Linked DNA regions of Notamacropus eugenii. The protein of the gene in region 1 interacts with the protein of each later gene in a pairwise test. Links are inferred from orthologs where the notes say so. Each region holds a gene or a part of one and is shown in the gene's direction. Other genes may lie near its edges.

Region 1 (7,479 bases):
AATAAAATTGCTCAGTTTAAAGTTCAAACTCTTTCATAACATGGCCCTTTCTTACTTTTCCAGTTGTCTTACACTCTGCTCCTCCACCTGATGACACTGGCCTCGCCAATGCTTCTCAGAGACACGTCCTCCTCCTGGCCCTGGGCATTTTCACTAACCCTCACTCCTAGAATTCTCTCCCTCCCCATCTGTGCTTCCTGGCTTCCTTCAAGTACCAGCTAAAACCCCACTTTCTACAAAAAGCCTTTCCCAATCATCCTTAATGCTAATGCCTTCCTCCTGCTGAATATCTCTGATTTATCCTGTATATCTCTTTCCCCATCAGACTATGAGCTTCTTCAGAGCAGGACTGTTTTTAGCTTTTCACTTAACAAAGTGCCTGACATACAATAGGTGCTTAATAAATGTTTCCTGACCAATTTGTTTTACTTGGGGAATACACAGTCACCTTCCTACTTTCCCTTCTCCCCCATGATGTTTTTTGATCCTCTTTTCCCCAAAGCCTGAAGGAGCAGACAGGAGGAAGAAGGGCCCCATGTATACAGGTACCATTCTTCCGCCCCCTTCAGGGCCCACTTTGGAATTATCTGAGCCAAAACAAAAACTCCACAATTAAAATTGTTATAACTTACTATTATATTTTCTTCCCCTCCAATTCCCTCTTTCTATCCCAACCTGCTACAAATATAAATAAATATTTTGTAGCTTTTTAATTCTGGAAAGGAAAAAAATTAAGGAAAAATTGAAATAGTTATAGAAAGTTTAAATACTGCTACTGCCTAAAAGCACTCTATTCTTGCCCCATTCACATTCTTTCATTTTTCTTCTCTTTAATGATCTACTTTTCATGAAAATATATAACTAGAGTTGCCAGTTTTATCCCTATAAAAACAATCAGCAATACATAAACCATTATGCCATTCCATTGAACATGGTAGGCTGAAAATATCTGGATATTCAAAACTCTATCCACAAGAGTGGACCAGTGACCATGTTAAAGTTCTGTAGAGTCACAAAATCAAATCAAAAGGATGAAAGTGTTAAGTTTTGAGCTAGAAATGACAAAAAGGGCCCCTAGCTAAACAAAGCTTCCACAATCATTCAAGTAAGTCCTAAATAAGAGAACAGCCAAATCCTAAAAATGGCCAAAATGAATGTTGCTTAAAGAATAGGGGAAAATAGAAGGGAACTCTCATGCTCTGAAATAACCAGAGGATCAAAAACTGTGACCACTCTGTGCTAGAAGGTTAAAAATAACACACAGAATTTAACTTTGCACAAAATGCCTACATGCCTCGGAGAATGGAATTTTCTAATAAAAATATGCACATTTACAGCAAACAACATTAAAAAGTATTCCTCGTGTGTCAAGCCTAGTCAGATGCCCATTTTGTCTGTTTCTATCCTAGCTCTGTTAAAAAGCATGAAGTCTTTCTCCAAAGCCCAATTCAATTATATACCAAAGGCAGTTATCAAAAAAACAAAATAGAGTTTAAATAAACTAAGACCAGTAAGATTAAGCCAGCTGAATTAAATAACCTCTGAGGTTCCATTTAGGCTCCTTAGGCTCTAAAACGACTATAATTCTACTAGTTTCAAGGTTCTAGTTTTAGAAGAAATATTTTAATGCGTCTGAACTTTTTAAGTTAAAAGTTATAAAGAAAGAAAAACTTTCTTAAGGAATCTATGAAACTCACCATCCTGCTACTTGAGGATTTCAGGCAGTCCGAAAGAAAGCTGAAAAGGGGAAAGAGTTTACAAACTTTTCATTCCTTATTTTATTCAAATATATCTATTTAATCTAAACAGTACATTTACAACAATTCTAGTGGGTCATGGTTAGAGGGAGAGAGCAGCAGATGCAAACAAAAGACCACAGGCAAGAAAGGGAGCTTGCTTTGAAAGCTATCCTCCAAAGCCAATGCCACTACACCTTTCCTTTATTTGCTTTATTATGTGAGCCAGTTGTGTTTGTGTTTATGCATATACATGTGCATGTGTCCCCAAAGAAAGCCACTGTTAATAAAGATTCCCTTTAAAGGAAATAATTTTGCTTTATCTCTTTTCCTTTCCTTTCCTATCAATTTTCTTTTGTTCCAGGTCTGTGATCTCTTGGTGTAAGTAGCTTCCAAGTGAGGAAATTCCCTCTATTCTATCCATAATTGTTCTCCAATTTATTAATCACAAAGCATTTATTAAGCACCTACTATGTGTTAGGCACTGTGCTAGGTTCAGGGGATATAATTCTTGCCCTTAAGTTTATATTCTATTGGGTAAGATAGCATATGCACATATAAGTGTAGGAACAGGGAAAGGGACTTGCCCGGTTATTTCACTGCTCTAGGGAATTGCTGGGTGAGGAAAAGCTCTATTCACACAGGTTAGCACTTTCTCTGTTTCCAGCACAGGGAAGCGAAATCTCTAACCACCAAGTTATCTGATGTCTGGTATAAACATATATACATATGGGGATCAGGAAAGGCCTCAGGCAGGAGGTACTGTTGAATTTTTAAGGAAACCAAGAAAACCATGTATGAGAGTTTCCAGGTACACCAAGGAGCTAAATGACTTGCCCAAGGTTACACAGCCAATATGGCAGCAGCAGGATTTGAACCCAGGTCTTTCAGAGGCTGACTTTCAATACACTATACCAGAGGATTTCAAATGTGGTCCTGTGGACCCTGGGGTTCCTTATGACATTTCAAAAGATTTTGCAGTATCAAACTATTTTCATAGTAACACAAAGATGTTATTTGCCTTTTTCCCTCTCATTCACTCATGAGAATACAGTGGTATTTTCCAAAGGCCACATGACCTGTCAATTAAAGTTTAGCTGCAAATGCAAAAACTGTTAATATCTTGTCTGGAAATTTGTACTTACACCTGCCACCGTGAGCTTGACAAATTTCCAATTCTTAACTCCAGTGACATTAATGATTTAAGCTTGTTACATAGTATGATGAACTAGGTCAGCATGGAGAAGATCTGCATACCTTACTGAACCAATACTTTCCAAATGACCAATTTATGTGTTACAAAATCTTGGGTAAAAGATCCATTTAAAGTATAAGATTCAACCAATGGATTTTAACGGAGCACTGTTCCAAAAGGTCACATATGTGGTTTTAGATTCCTCATTGCCACTAACCTTTAAGAAACTACCACGTGACCACTTTTGGTACAGCATCAAAGACATCTGGAAAGGCCATTTAAAAAAACTCCCTTTTCCAACTACATATTTGCATGAGACTGGGTTTTCTTCACATACTTCAACTGAAAAAGACATATTACAAAAAATTGAATGCAGAAACAGACAGAAGGATCCAGCTGCCTTCCATTAAGCCAGAAACTAAAGGGATATGCAAAAATGTAAAACATGGTCATGCTTCTCACTAATACTTTCTTGTTCTGGAAAAGTTATTTTTTAAGGTTAATTATATTCACATCTAATAATTTTACTATTACTTTAAAAACAAGAAATATTTTAAACATTTTCTCAGTTTTAATTTCTAATGCTGTATATCAGCAATAGCTATAACCCACCTAAAGGCAGTTTGGGGTCCAGAGACCAAAACATGGGAGAACCACTGCTCCTCAGATACACCAAAACCTCTCTAAATACGAGTTTGACTTTAAAGGAGTAGAGAAAAACCAGCCCTTCATCCAGACTGGATCCCCACTACAGCTCACTCCTAAACACGTGATTGTTTACAATGAAGGAACGCCCCCGCCGGTTCTTTCCCTTTCCACTCCCAAACTGTCCTTTTGGGATAAGCCACTGTTTACTTGTTTGATGATTCCGGGATATCTGGTACTCCAGGGGGTCAGGGTTCCACCAGCGGAGGTCGGTGTAAAACACAGGCAGGAAAGGGATGCGTTTCTACTCCTTCCGGCGCCCAGGACGGAGTAAGCTTGGGACAGCGGCCTGGCTAAATCCTCGCTGCCCCGGCCCACGCCCTCAGGACTCATCTCGGTCCTCAAATGCCAGCCGAAAGGCGGGCAGTGCTGACGGCCGCGATACGGGCATGGAGGCGGGAGAATCAGAGTGACAGGACGCTGAGACTACGGCGCCACCATCAAGTGCTCCGCTACAGTAGTGGTAGTTACTACTTACTAGTAAGTGCTTCCAACCGCAGGAGGAGTCGTCGCTCTCCTAGGGCCCTCCTCCCCGAGGTGGCCCACCCATCCCCACTCAGGAAAGCCGGGCTCTCGGAACCTCCCTCCGGCCTCCTCAGGCTACGGAACAAACGCTAAGACTTCGCGCTTAAAACGCGGGAACTAGAGGCCAAGTCTCGAGCGGAAGGAAGGGGCACGAAAACGAAGTTCCTCCTCCCCTCGCTGTGCCTCTGCGCAGGCCTCTCGGCCTCCCGCTCTCTTCTCCCCGCTCCGTCCCTAACCCGCAGCCTTCCTCCCTAGGTTCACCTCACGGCTGCAGCACTTCCAAACACGAACGGCGATTCTAGACCCCAAACGAGCGGACCGGAAGAGAGTAAGGCCGACGCACAAAAGGAAACGGGCCACTTCCGCTCTGACCCCAAGGCAGCGGAAGCCCGTGAGTAGGAAGCGGAAGCGACTCCCAGGTGGGCGGGCGTAGTGAGAGCGAGGCTCAGGTCTGGTGTTCCTGTCCTGTCGCGTTCTGTCTGCGGCCTTGGCGACGGGTCCTGTAGGAGTTTGGGTGCAGCCTAGGCTTCCATTCCTAGTCTCCTGAGGCTAAACTGCAAAACTTTCAGGAGACCTTCGAGGCGAAGCTTCTCTTCGTAGAAAAGGCTAAACTGAGGCCAGGAGCTGCCCTAGGTTACGGGGGGAGGGGCAGGGGCTTCTCGGCCCGGACCTGATTAAGAAAGGACGCCGGGAAGGCAAAAGGCTGGGACGACTGCCCAGGGGACCGCGGCCGCCGCTGCCGCCCCTGACGAAGAGACCGCTTCAGAGGGTTCGAAAGTGCCTTTTGGTTTGTTAAGATATGCGTAGATGTATATATTCAATATAAGTTGTTGACGTTGCGCAGTGATGCCGGTTTGGTTCTTTTTCCCCTATTGGTTTTATGTGGGCTTTGGGATGATCCGAGTTCAAGCCTTGCCTTTAACACCTAACTTGTTTTATGAGGCAGAACTGAGTTCAGATCACGTCCTCATCCCAGGGTTGTTGTGTGGATAAAACGAGTAAGATTTGTGAAGTGAGTGCATGCTGGCTTGAGCTCGTGTGCCTCGCATAAAGTTAGGCGCTTACTGCTACGATGATTGAATTTAACAGCCGCTTTATCTCGGCGTCCCAGGCCACACAAGACTATATATATATACTATAAAAAAGTTGCAGATCAGCAGCAGTGGAGGGAGTTCCCAACATCAGTTTACCCATACTCTTGAGATCATGTTCCTAAAGGAGAAAAAGGAATAGCTGGGGGGGTTTTTAGTCCCTGGAAATCAAGCACTTAACAAATAGCTCAAGAGGGGAAAGGTTCTTTATGGCTGATTCTTAGAATCTTTACCCTCTTGTCAGGAATTGGATATGAAATTAATTAATTACAACTGAGGAAACAAGGTAATTTATCAGAGGGTATTTCACCAATATGCAGTTCTTTTATTGTGTTCAGGGACATATCGCTAAGCTTTTCTCTCAGGAGAAAAGTAACTTCCTGAAAGACACTTTTTGATGCTTTCTATATTCTTCCACTCGATGCTTTTTATATTTCACTGCTTTCACATTCTACTTTGTCTTATATTTGAACATCTAAATGTCTTATTCCCTCCTTCTCCAGTGCACATTAGATTATTGTAATTATTGTAATAATGTGATCATAATATTGTAATAATTGTGATCATCAATATCTTACTCATTTTTATATCTTGTCCTATCACTGCTCTCCTTCCTCAATTAGCATTGTCCCTTATTCATAATAAAAATTTAATAAATACTTCCTGAATGAATGAATTAAATTAAATTAACTGCCTCTCTAACTAGAGTGCTTGAATGTTGTCTCCAACTACTATTTACGTTTCCTCTTTTTTTTCAACTCTTTTCAGTCTGGCTTCTAACTTCAATATTCAGCTGAAGCTAGTTAACAATCATCTCATAATACTAAAACCTTATGCCTTTCTCAGTCCTCATCCTTCCACCCTCTGCGGCATTCTCTCCCTGTTGATCATGTTTTTCTCCTATATATTCATTCATTTGTATTTTCATGACATTGATCTTGCTAAGATGGGCTCTGTCCTGAACCCTTTTCAAGTACAGATACATTGTATCTCAATCAATCAGTAAACACTTATTAAGTACTTACTTCGTGCCAGGCATTGTACTAAACACTGAGGATACAAAAAGAAGCAAAATACAGTCCCTGTCCTCAAGGACCTCACAGTCTAAAGAGGGAAAAGCATGCAAACAAATACAAAGCTAGCTGTAGATGGAATAAATAGGAAGTGATTAACAGAGGGAAGGCATTAGAATTAAGATGAGTTCGAGGTTTCCTATAGATGGTGGGATTTTAGTTGGGATTTAAAGGAAGCCCTGGAAATCAGTAGTTAAGAGTGGAGGAGGGAAAGCATTCCATGCATGGGGGACAACCAGAGAAACTTTACAGGAAGTTTCCAGATGAAGGGTCTTATTCATGCAACAGTCAGTAGGCCAGTGTCACTGGATGGAAAAGCATATGTTAGGGAGTAAGGTGTAAGAAGACTGGAAAGGTAGGAGGGGACCAGATTATGGAGGAATTTGAATGCCAAACAGAACATTCTGTATTTGGTCCTGTAGGCAATAGGAAGCCATTAGAGTGGTCAGACCTGCACTTTAGGAAAATCACTTTAATGGCTGAAGAGGATAGACTGGAATGAGGAGAAACTTGAAGCTGGCAGACCCACCATCATGCAGTAGTCCACATCTGGGGCAATAAAAATGTACCAAATTATTAGTAATGTCAGAGGAGAGAAGGGGGTTGTATTCAACAGATGTTGCAAAGGTGAAATAGATGACCCTTAGCAAGAGAATTGATGTGTTTGTAAGGGGGGGAGGTGGTGGCAGAGGTGGCAGCGAGGAAAGATAGTGAGGAGTCTAGGATGACTCTTAGGTTTTCAACTGATCTCCATCAGCAACCAAAAGTTTAATTACCCTCTGTGCCAGTGACTCTAAGATGTACATACACAGCCATGAGTCTCTCTCCTGAGCTTCAGCACTTGGAACTAGATGTACCATAGATGCCAGCTCAGATGAAACATGTCTAAAACAAGCATTTATTAAGTCTTTATGATGTGTCAATACTGTGCTGTGATATACTGGGAATACAAAGAAAATCCAAAATAGTCCCCCTGCCTTTAACAAACTTATGTTCTAAAGGAGACATGTTAAAAGAAAAAAAGGCTATTTTCAAGATACTTAAAGAATAGATAGGTGACCTTAGAAGGGAATGTTTTAGCATTTGGGGAGACTAGAAAAAGACTCCCACAAAAAGTAGCATTTGAGTATTTTGAAGGAAACCAAGGAATTTAA
Region 2 (8,052 bases), on another chromosome or scaffold:
CCTCAACTGTAAAACAGGGATAATAGCAGCATCTACTTCCCAGTGCTATTGTAAAATTATCAGCATAGTGCCTGATACATCGTAGGTACTACATAAATGCTGACTATTTTTATTACTTGGTCAAACCCCATCATCCCTCCTTAGCCAGTATGGGACATGATGCAGGGCACCAAAAAGCCCTCAGCGGGTCACATGGGTCCATCCTTTCAATCCAAGAGGGGATCTGCTTTTTTTGTGTGTGCAAATTTTCTCTTTTTAAAAAATTTTGGGGTTTTTTCACCAATTGATAGTATTTTATTTTTTCCAATGATATATAAAGACAATTTCAACATTCATCTTTATAAAATTTTGAGCTCCAAATTTTCTCTCTCCCCGCTCACTAAGACTAAGAGAGAGAGAGAGAGACAGAGAGAGGGAGAGACAGAGACAGAGACAGAGACAGAGACAGAGACACAGAGAGAGAGAGAGAGACAGAGAGAGGGAGAGAGAGAGAGAGGGAGAGAGCGCGATCTCACCTAAGGAGACTTTGATCATAGGGTTAATTTAGGTCATACATATCTGATATAGGCTACACATGCAATGATATAAAATCTATTTCCATATTAGTTATGTCGTGAAAGAAGAAACAGCTTGCAAGAAAATGCATTTTTTTTTTTGCAAAACTTTATTTTTTTTGTTGTGAACTTGTGGAACATTAACAAACATTCATTTCCATAAACAAAGAGCAGGAAACCTTGAATCTGTCACAGACGGTGACTTTTGCTTGAAAACTATAAAAACTATAGTTTTCAATATTTATATATTATTTATATATAACATTTAATAAATATATTTATAAACACATAATATAAATTAAAATATGAAAACTATAAAACTTTTGTTTTAAAACCAAAAAACAAATCTATGATAATTTGAATAGTGCCTTGCTTTTCTGTATCCTTCTGAACTTTCTGCTGCTCTCTTCTGTGAAATACTTTAGAAATATTTCATTGACTTTATTTTATTTCCTTGTAGTGCAAAAGATGCTAAGAAAGGAAAAACTGTCCCTGTCCTCAGGGGGCATCTGTTCTGAGGGGAGGGCATGTGTGCGTTGCCCATTTAGATTATGTGTTTCCACATCAGTCTGTCTAGTGTGACTTTCAGGGAGATGTGAATAGATATCTCTGGGGTCTTTTCCACCCACCCTTCCCTAAGGAAGACTTTGATTCCTGTCAGGAGGGGAATAGGAAATTGGGGCCACAAGGCTGACCACTCTCCTCTCCTTAGAGAAGGGTTACTAGGCTAGAGTTATAACTCTAAATACTAGGGGAAATAATGTTTAGGTTCAAGCTGTGCTCTGATCCCTATCCTTCAATAGGGGAAAAGCATCCAAGCTCTACATCTATACTTCAAGGCTTATCTCCCTTCCTCCCAAATGCCAGTTTCACAGAGAGCACACATAGCAGATAGAAAATAAACTCATCTATTAAAGCCAATATTAGGCAGAACTTATAGATGTTATGCAGAGGAGAGTACGCTAGATAATACACAGAATGAAAGAGTTGTCCCATGGGGAGAGAGGTTCAAAGATATGAGGGGGGGAGAGAGAGAGAGAGACAGACAGAGACAGAGACAGAGACAGAGAGACAGAGAGAAACAGAGACAGAGACAGAGAGACAGAGAGAGAGTGCATAATCTCACCTAAGGGGAAATTTCCCAAAGTCTCTGGTGTGGTAAGCTAGGGATAGGGACACAATGAAGGTACAAGCTTTTCTACATGTTGAGCTGAAGAGACTCAGGAGTAACATATTTTCTTTCTGAAGCTGGAAAAAAGACCTCTCAAGGTCTGGTCCACTCTGACCCTCAGCTTAAACACAGTACACTGAATAATCAATCTTGGACGCCCAAATGAAGAATCCCCAATTTTACTTGTTTTGTTGAAGAGGATGACTTCAAAAGAGGTTAAAGAACTTGCCCATGGTCACTCAACTAGTAAGGAGCAAGGGCAGGATTTGATTTCAGGTCTTCTGGTAGCACAACTCTGGAGCTCTCACCTCTACACCAGGTTTAACTGGTGACCATCACAAACGAAGTAACTCCTCCTAGAGTTCTCCAAAATATCTGTGAATGGTCCCACTAGGGAGGACTTAGAGGGCATCTAGTCTGGGCTTCTCATTTTCCAGACAAGGAGACTAAAGCCCAGAAAGAGAAAAGACCCATCTAAGGCACCCAAGATAGAATTAAGCCCAGGTCCTCTGGTTTCCACTCCACTATTGGTTCCTACAGGAGTAGACTGACATTTCAAAGCCTGTCGCGTTGGGTATTCAGAATGTCAGAGACTGGGTGAGCTGGGTTCATTAGAACTAGATCCTGCTGCTGGGAAAGCTGGTTGTGAAACACTTTATTGTTGTTTCTCACTCATTTTTCAGTCACGTCTGACTCGGTGTGACCCCATTTGGGGTTTTCTTGGCAAAGACGCTGGAGTGATTTGCCATTCCTTCTCTAGCTCATTTTACAGATGAGGAAACTGAGGCAAACAGCATGAAGTGACTTGCTCAGAGTCCCATTCAGACCCTGAAATTTTGGAGTCTTTTAATTAGTTGTTCATTAATACTCTCCAAGTGCAATGAAAATTCACACCGCCATATGACACATTTTCCTGAAACCCATGGAGTCAACATGGGAGAAATTTGTAGCGAGGGAAGGCAAATCCTTTCTTCTCTCACCATCCAATTCCTTCTTCCTTACATTTTGGAAAAATGACTTACTAAAATGGTGGTTAGAGAGGTGGCACTGGAAGCAGGAAGATGTGTTCAGATGTTGGGTTCAAATTCTGACTGACACAAAGGGGCTGTGAGACCCTAGGCAAGTCATTTAATGCTCAGGGATTCGCGCATCTTCCTAACACTTCAGTTGCAGAGAAAATGCTGACCTGCATGAGTAGAGGGAGTTTTCTTACCTGGGAGTTCCCTGTATCCATATTATCTCAGGTTTGGCTCCTCTCCCTTAATATTTAACCTAAACAATGCATGCAATAACTTAAATTTGTTTTGCAACTTAAATAAGTGAAATTCAGCCTGTAAAACATCATGACTTGTCCGTCTTTCCCTCCCCCTAGATCTTTATCAGGGTTCTTTCTCCATTCATACTAATTCACTTTCCCTCTTAGATGACTGAAATTAACGCGGACTTCATTCTTCTGTTTCTCTGTCTATTTCCTTGTATCCTCATACATGTAATTGACTTACAGTTTCCCATTACACCAAGGTACCGCCATGTATTCACTCATTCCCTCACTGTCACATGTCTGGGTTGCTTCCAGGTGGAGTTTTCTGGTTTTGTGGCCACACAGTCCTGCCATGGAAATCTTGGGACTCTTATTTTTATTTTTCAAAAAGAAACAATTGGGTCAAAGGGGATGATTACTTTTGTAACCTTTCCTATAAACTGCCAGGTTTTATTCTGAAAAGGTTCTGAGTTTGCAATACCGCCAGCAACAAAAGAGTATGCCTGTTTCTTCGCAGCCCCACCAGCACCGACTTTCAGGTTTTGAGAAATTTGCCAATCAATCTGTCAACAAGCATATTCAAGAGGCTACTTTGTGGAGAGTGCTACAAGCTGGAGCTACAAAGGTAAAAATGAAACTACCCACACTTCAGTTTTCATCTGTGAAAGAAGGGTGGAATCCAATTTCCAAGTCACCTTCTGATTTTACCCTTCTATGAGAAGAATTAAAATCCAGTTCAAGAAATACTTATTCAGCAGGTGGGAAGACTTGCTCAGTGTAAGGGGTAGAAGAATGGGATAAGATAAAGGACCCAAGGACTTGTAATGCAAGGCAGAAGGTGAGAAGTACAAGGAAAAAGTGTAGATAAAGAGTCAGAAATCCAGAGGCCAGAGGGCTGTTATCACGTGGGAAGGACCAAGGGAGATGTGCTAAAGGGGCTGGCCTAGACTCTGGGCCCCCTCCTGGCTCAGGGATGCTGCGAGGCCGGGTCTGCCCTTGAAGGTGCCCATCCTCTCTGTCCCCTCGGCTAGGCAGCCAGGGGTGACCTAGAGCCTCCCCCTCAACACCCCTGCCCGGTCAGGGCCCGACCTGGGGCTGCCTCTCGCCGGACGCCCTCCCCGGCCCCCCCCTCCTGGAGCACTACCCCGAGCGTCACTCACTGCCCCCCTCCCCCTCCCTGTCAGCGCCAGTAACAGCAGGGGTCCTCGTCACCCCTCCCCCGCCCCTCCCCCTGCTCCGAGGCCGGGCCTCAGCCTGGGGATTCCCGCCGGGACCAGGCCGGGCTGAGGGATTTCGACCTCGAATTCCTTTAATGTTCGGGGATAACGCTCGAGGATGGACGGACGCTTGAGAGGCCTGGGCGCTCGGCGGGCTTGACGGACGGACGGACGGACGGAGGGACAGACGGAGGGACGGACGGACAGAGTCAAATAAAGAAGAGGAAATAAACCTAAATCTAAACATTATAATAAAAATTAAGAAAGGATAACCAGTCCTGAGCTGCCCCGTTCCTCTCTTTGCAAATCTTAGTTTTGTATCTCCTTTACCGACTCCGTCTCTGCCACGTATTTTTATAAATGTATGTTTTCATGCATATTATTTATACATACATGCGTATGACTGTGCGTACAGGTACATGCACACACGCATGTGTACTGCCTGCACACCGTAGGCGCCTACTCAGTGCTCGTGGCGTAACGATGGCGGAAAGGCTTCTCTGGGTCCAAGATGGACGCCCCAGGGCTGCTCTGGGCAGGGCCTGGGGGCCGTCTGGTGCCACGCCTCTGTCCCACACAGCAGGGAGGGGCAAGCCTAGCGAGGGCCGGGGCGGTTCGAGGCCTGCACCCGCGCTCCTCTGCACCGGGCCCAGCCGCCGTGCCCCCTGGGGTGCGCGCCTCACGGGCCCTTCCAGAGCTCCCAGGCGGAAGAGGTTTCCTAACTTGGGCCGAGGGTGGGGGAGGGGGATGCGCGGCCCAGACTGGCAGAGGGAGGAGGGCTCCACCCCTCCCCTCCCCTCCCCCACCCGGACGTCCCCCATGCCGCAGCCAGCTCCCGCAGCCTGGAGGTGAGCGCGATGCACTCCTCCGGCCCGGACGCGGCGGAGGCGGAGCGCGCCGGGCCTCAGTTTCCCCCGCTGACCGAGCAGGAGGCCGGAGCCTGCGCGTGCCCGGGCTGCCCGGCCCCGAGGAGCACGCAGGCGGCGCGGGGCTCCCCTGCGCGGGCTCCCGGGGTGCAGGGGCCGCTGCACCCGAAGAAGGGGCTGCTGTGCAAGTGGTCTGCGGAGGCGCCGCCTTGCTACAAGTGTAGCCACTCGGGGCACGCGGGGCCCCCGCCCCAGTCCCAGGAGCCTCCGACGGCACCGCCTCCTTCCACGCCGCCGCCGCCGCCGTCTGCGCCCGCCAGCCCGGGCGACGGGGCCATGAAGACGGAGCCCCCCAAGGAGGCGGCCGACAAGATGCTGCGCACCCCGAAGTGCTCGCGCTGCCGCAACCACGGCTTCCTGGTGCCCGTCAAGGGCCACGTGGGCAAGTGCCGCTGGAAGCAGTGCAGCTGCGAGAAGTGCTACCTGATCACGGAGCGCCAGAAGATCATGGCGGCGCAGAAGGTGCTCAAGAGGCAGCTGCACGACGGCGACGAGCCCGACGAGCCGCCCGCCGAGCCGCTCGGGGGCCCGGGGCCCGCGCCCTGCGCCCGTCCGCTGCCCATGCCGCTGCCCATGCCCGGGCCCGGGCCCGGGGACGCCGGCCCCGACGGCCGCGCAGGCCCCTACGGGAGCGCCCGGCCGGGGCCCTCGGGGCTCTTCGAGCGGGGCCCCGGGGGCAACGGCGGGGGCGGCCCCGGGGTCGAGGTGGCCGCGGGGGGCAGCGCCCGGGGCTTCGACGGCTGCTTCAAGCCCGGGCCCCGGCGGGCGCTGCCGCTGCCCATGCCCATGCCCCTGCCGGCCCCGCCGCCGCCCCCCCCGCCGCCGCCGCCGCCGCTCAGCGCCTCCACCTCGGCCTCTGCCAGCCCTCCCTACGGCGACTTCGGTAAGGACCCCCGACGGGAGCGCGGGACCCTGGGGACGGAGGGCAGGGGAGGCCGGGGCTGGAGCGAGGCCTAGTGACCGCGAGGGACGCCCCGTGCGGGCCGCTTCTGCGCCTTAGGGAGGGGGCCGGCGGTGACTCGGGAGCGGCCCGGGCCCCCCTCGCTCCATCCCCCCAGAAAACGCTCCTTTCCCCGCCTTGCGGCCGGCCGCTTCAAACTCTGGGCCTCAGTTTCCCCATTTCTAAAAAGAGGATTGGGTTAGAAAGATGGCTGTCTGCCGTCTGCCCTCCCCTCCCCCGAACCGGACGGCAGGGACCGAGGCGTCCCCTGGGGAGCAGTGCGGGGCCGGGGGGGGGGCGCCCGACCGAGCCTGCCCTTGATGAAGCTGGGGGAACCGAGGTGGGGGGGGCGGAAAAGCGGCTTTGTGGACCCAAGCGTGGGGGGGCGGCAGGTTTATTTAGTGCGAGTGTCTCGGTGCAGTTCCGGGCTTTGGAAACGTGGTATTGGGGGGGGAGGTTCCGGACCGTAGCGGCCCCCCCTGGTTTTACAGGCTGGGAAACAGGCCTGAGGTCACTCTGTAGTAGGTAGGCTGCTTCCCCTCCCTCCCTTCTCCCTCTCCTCTCCCCTCCCCCTCCTTTTGTCCTCCTCTCCCCCTCCCCCTCCTCTTCTCCTCCTGCTCTCCCCCTCCTCTCCCCCTCCCCCTCCTTTTGTCCTCCTCTCCCCCTCCCCCTCCTTTTGTCCTCCTGCTCTCCCCCTCCCCCTCCTCTCCCCCCCCCTCCCTTTGTCCTCCTCTCCCCCTCCCCCGCCTCTTCTCCTCCTGCTCTCCCCTCCCCCTCCTTTTCTCCTCCTCGCCCCTTCCTTTTCTCCTCCTGCTCTCCCCTCCCCCTCCTTTTCTCCTCCTCGCCCCTTCCTTTTCTCCTCCTGCTCTCCCCTCCCCCTCCTTTTCTCCTCCTGCTCTCCCCTCCCCTTCCTTTTCTCCTCCTGCTCTCCCCCTCCCCCTCCTCTTCCCCTCCCCCTCCTTTTGTCCTCCTTTCCCCCTCCCCCTCCTCTTCTCCTCCTGCTCTCCCCTCCCCCTCCTCTTCTCTCCCCTCTCCCTCCTTTTCTCCTCCTGCTCTCCCCTCCCCCTCCTTTTCTCCTCCTGCTCTCCCCCTCCCCCTCCTCTCTCCCCTCCCCCTCCCTCCCGGGCTCTGTCTACTACGCTCAACTTGATACAATTCCCACGCAGTAGTGGGGGAGGGGGGCTTTTCTTCAGTGCCTTAAGTCGTACCAGACCTTTGATACGCACGAAGCCCTTTCCACTACGACCTCGTGCTCTAGGTAACACGGGTATCCATTCGCCAGGCTAAATACCATCCAGAGTGTCTGTGATGCCATCAGTTTATTAAGTTCATACATGGGAATTTCAACCCCTAATGTTCTGGAAAAGCTAGGACTTGGAACCAGAAGGCCTGGGTTCAAATCCCATCCCAGCTACCCTGGGCCAGGCTTTGATGGGACTCTTGTTTCCTTGACTGTAAAATGGGGGCTGATGTGATGGGTGCTTTGGCCTCAAAGATCTAGTGGGAGGAAAATGCTTTGTAAACGAACTTTGGGCTCTGTGTCAAGTGAATTTCCCCTAGGAACACTGTCCTTGGATAGTTAGTACCCGTGTCTTAGAGCTTCACTACATTTGTAGGTAACTAGGGTTTTTTGTCTTTCCCCTTGTTCTTGTCTTTATCCAGGGCACCCTTCCAACATTGCCCCAGAGTGCGTGATGGGACCTGAATATCTGGAGAGAGAGCAGTCTAAAGTGTATCCTGGTTATGCCAACATGTACCACTACCGCCCATTCCCACTGGGCAGCTACCGGGGTTCTGCTTCTGCCCCAGGGATACCCCTCCAGAGGGGCTTCCGCCATGTCTCCAGCAACCACGGAGCAGGGACCTCTTCTTCTTTGCTGGTGAGTAGAGGATCGGGCATTCTCTGGTTTCCCCCGATTTGACTTTAGGGAAAATGACTCCCTTGCGGAGGGACTGGGACAACCGAGGCTGACCTTGGAAGTA

Evidence for each region. The genes of interacting proteins can lie anywhere in the genome.
Region 2: the proteins of NIF3L1 (region 1) and DMRTB1 interact in a two-hybrid assay, tested with the Homo sapiens proteins (2 studies listed by BioGRID and IntAct). The two-hybrid records come from large-scale screens. The link is inferred for Notamacropus eugenii from reciprocal best matches to the Homo sapiens genes NIF3L1 and DMRTB1.

What each region holds. Positions count from the first base shown.
Region 1 is NC_092877.1:297,045,602-297,053,080, forward strand, and holds the start of NIF3L1 (NIF3-like protein 1), read left to right. Parts: upstream 1-4,417; 5' UTR 4,418-4,552; exon of another isoform or gene 4,553-4,948; intron 4,949-5,506; exon of another isoform or gene 5,507-5,538; intron 5,539-7,479. Other genes in the region: PPIL3 (peptidyl-prolyl cis-trans isomerase-like 3), read right to left, coding at 1,698-1,700. UniProt on the Homo sapiens protein: May function as a transcriptional corepressor through its interaction with COPS2, negatively regulating the expression of genes involved in neuronal differentiation.
Region 2 is NC_092873.1:513,648,822-513,656,873, forward strand, and holds the start of DMRTB1 (doublesex- and mab-3-related transcription factor B1), read left to right. Parts: upstream 1-4,951; 5' UTR 4,952-5,060; coding exon 5,061-6,012; intron 6,013-7,731; coding exon 7,732-7,949; intron 7,950-8,052.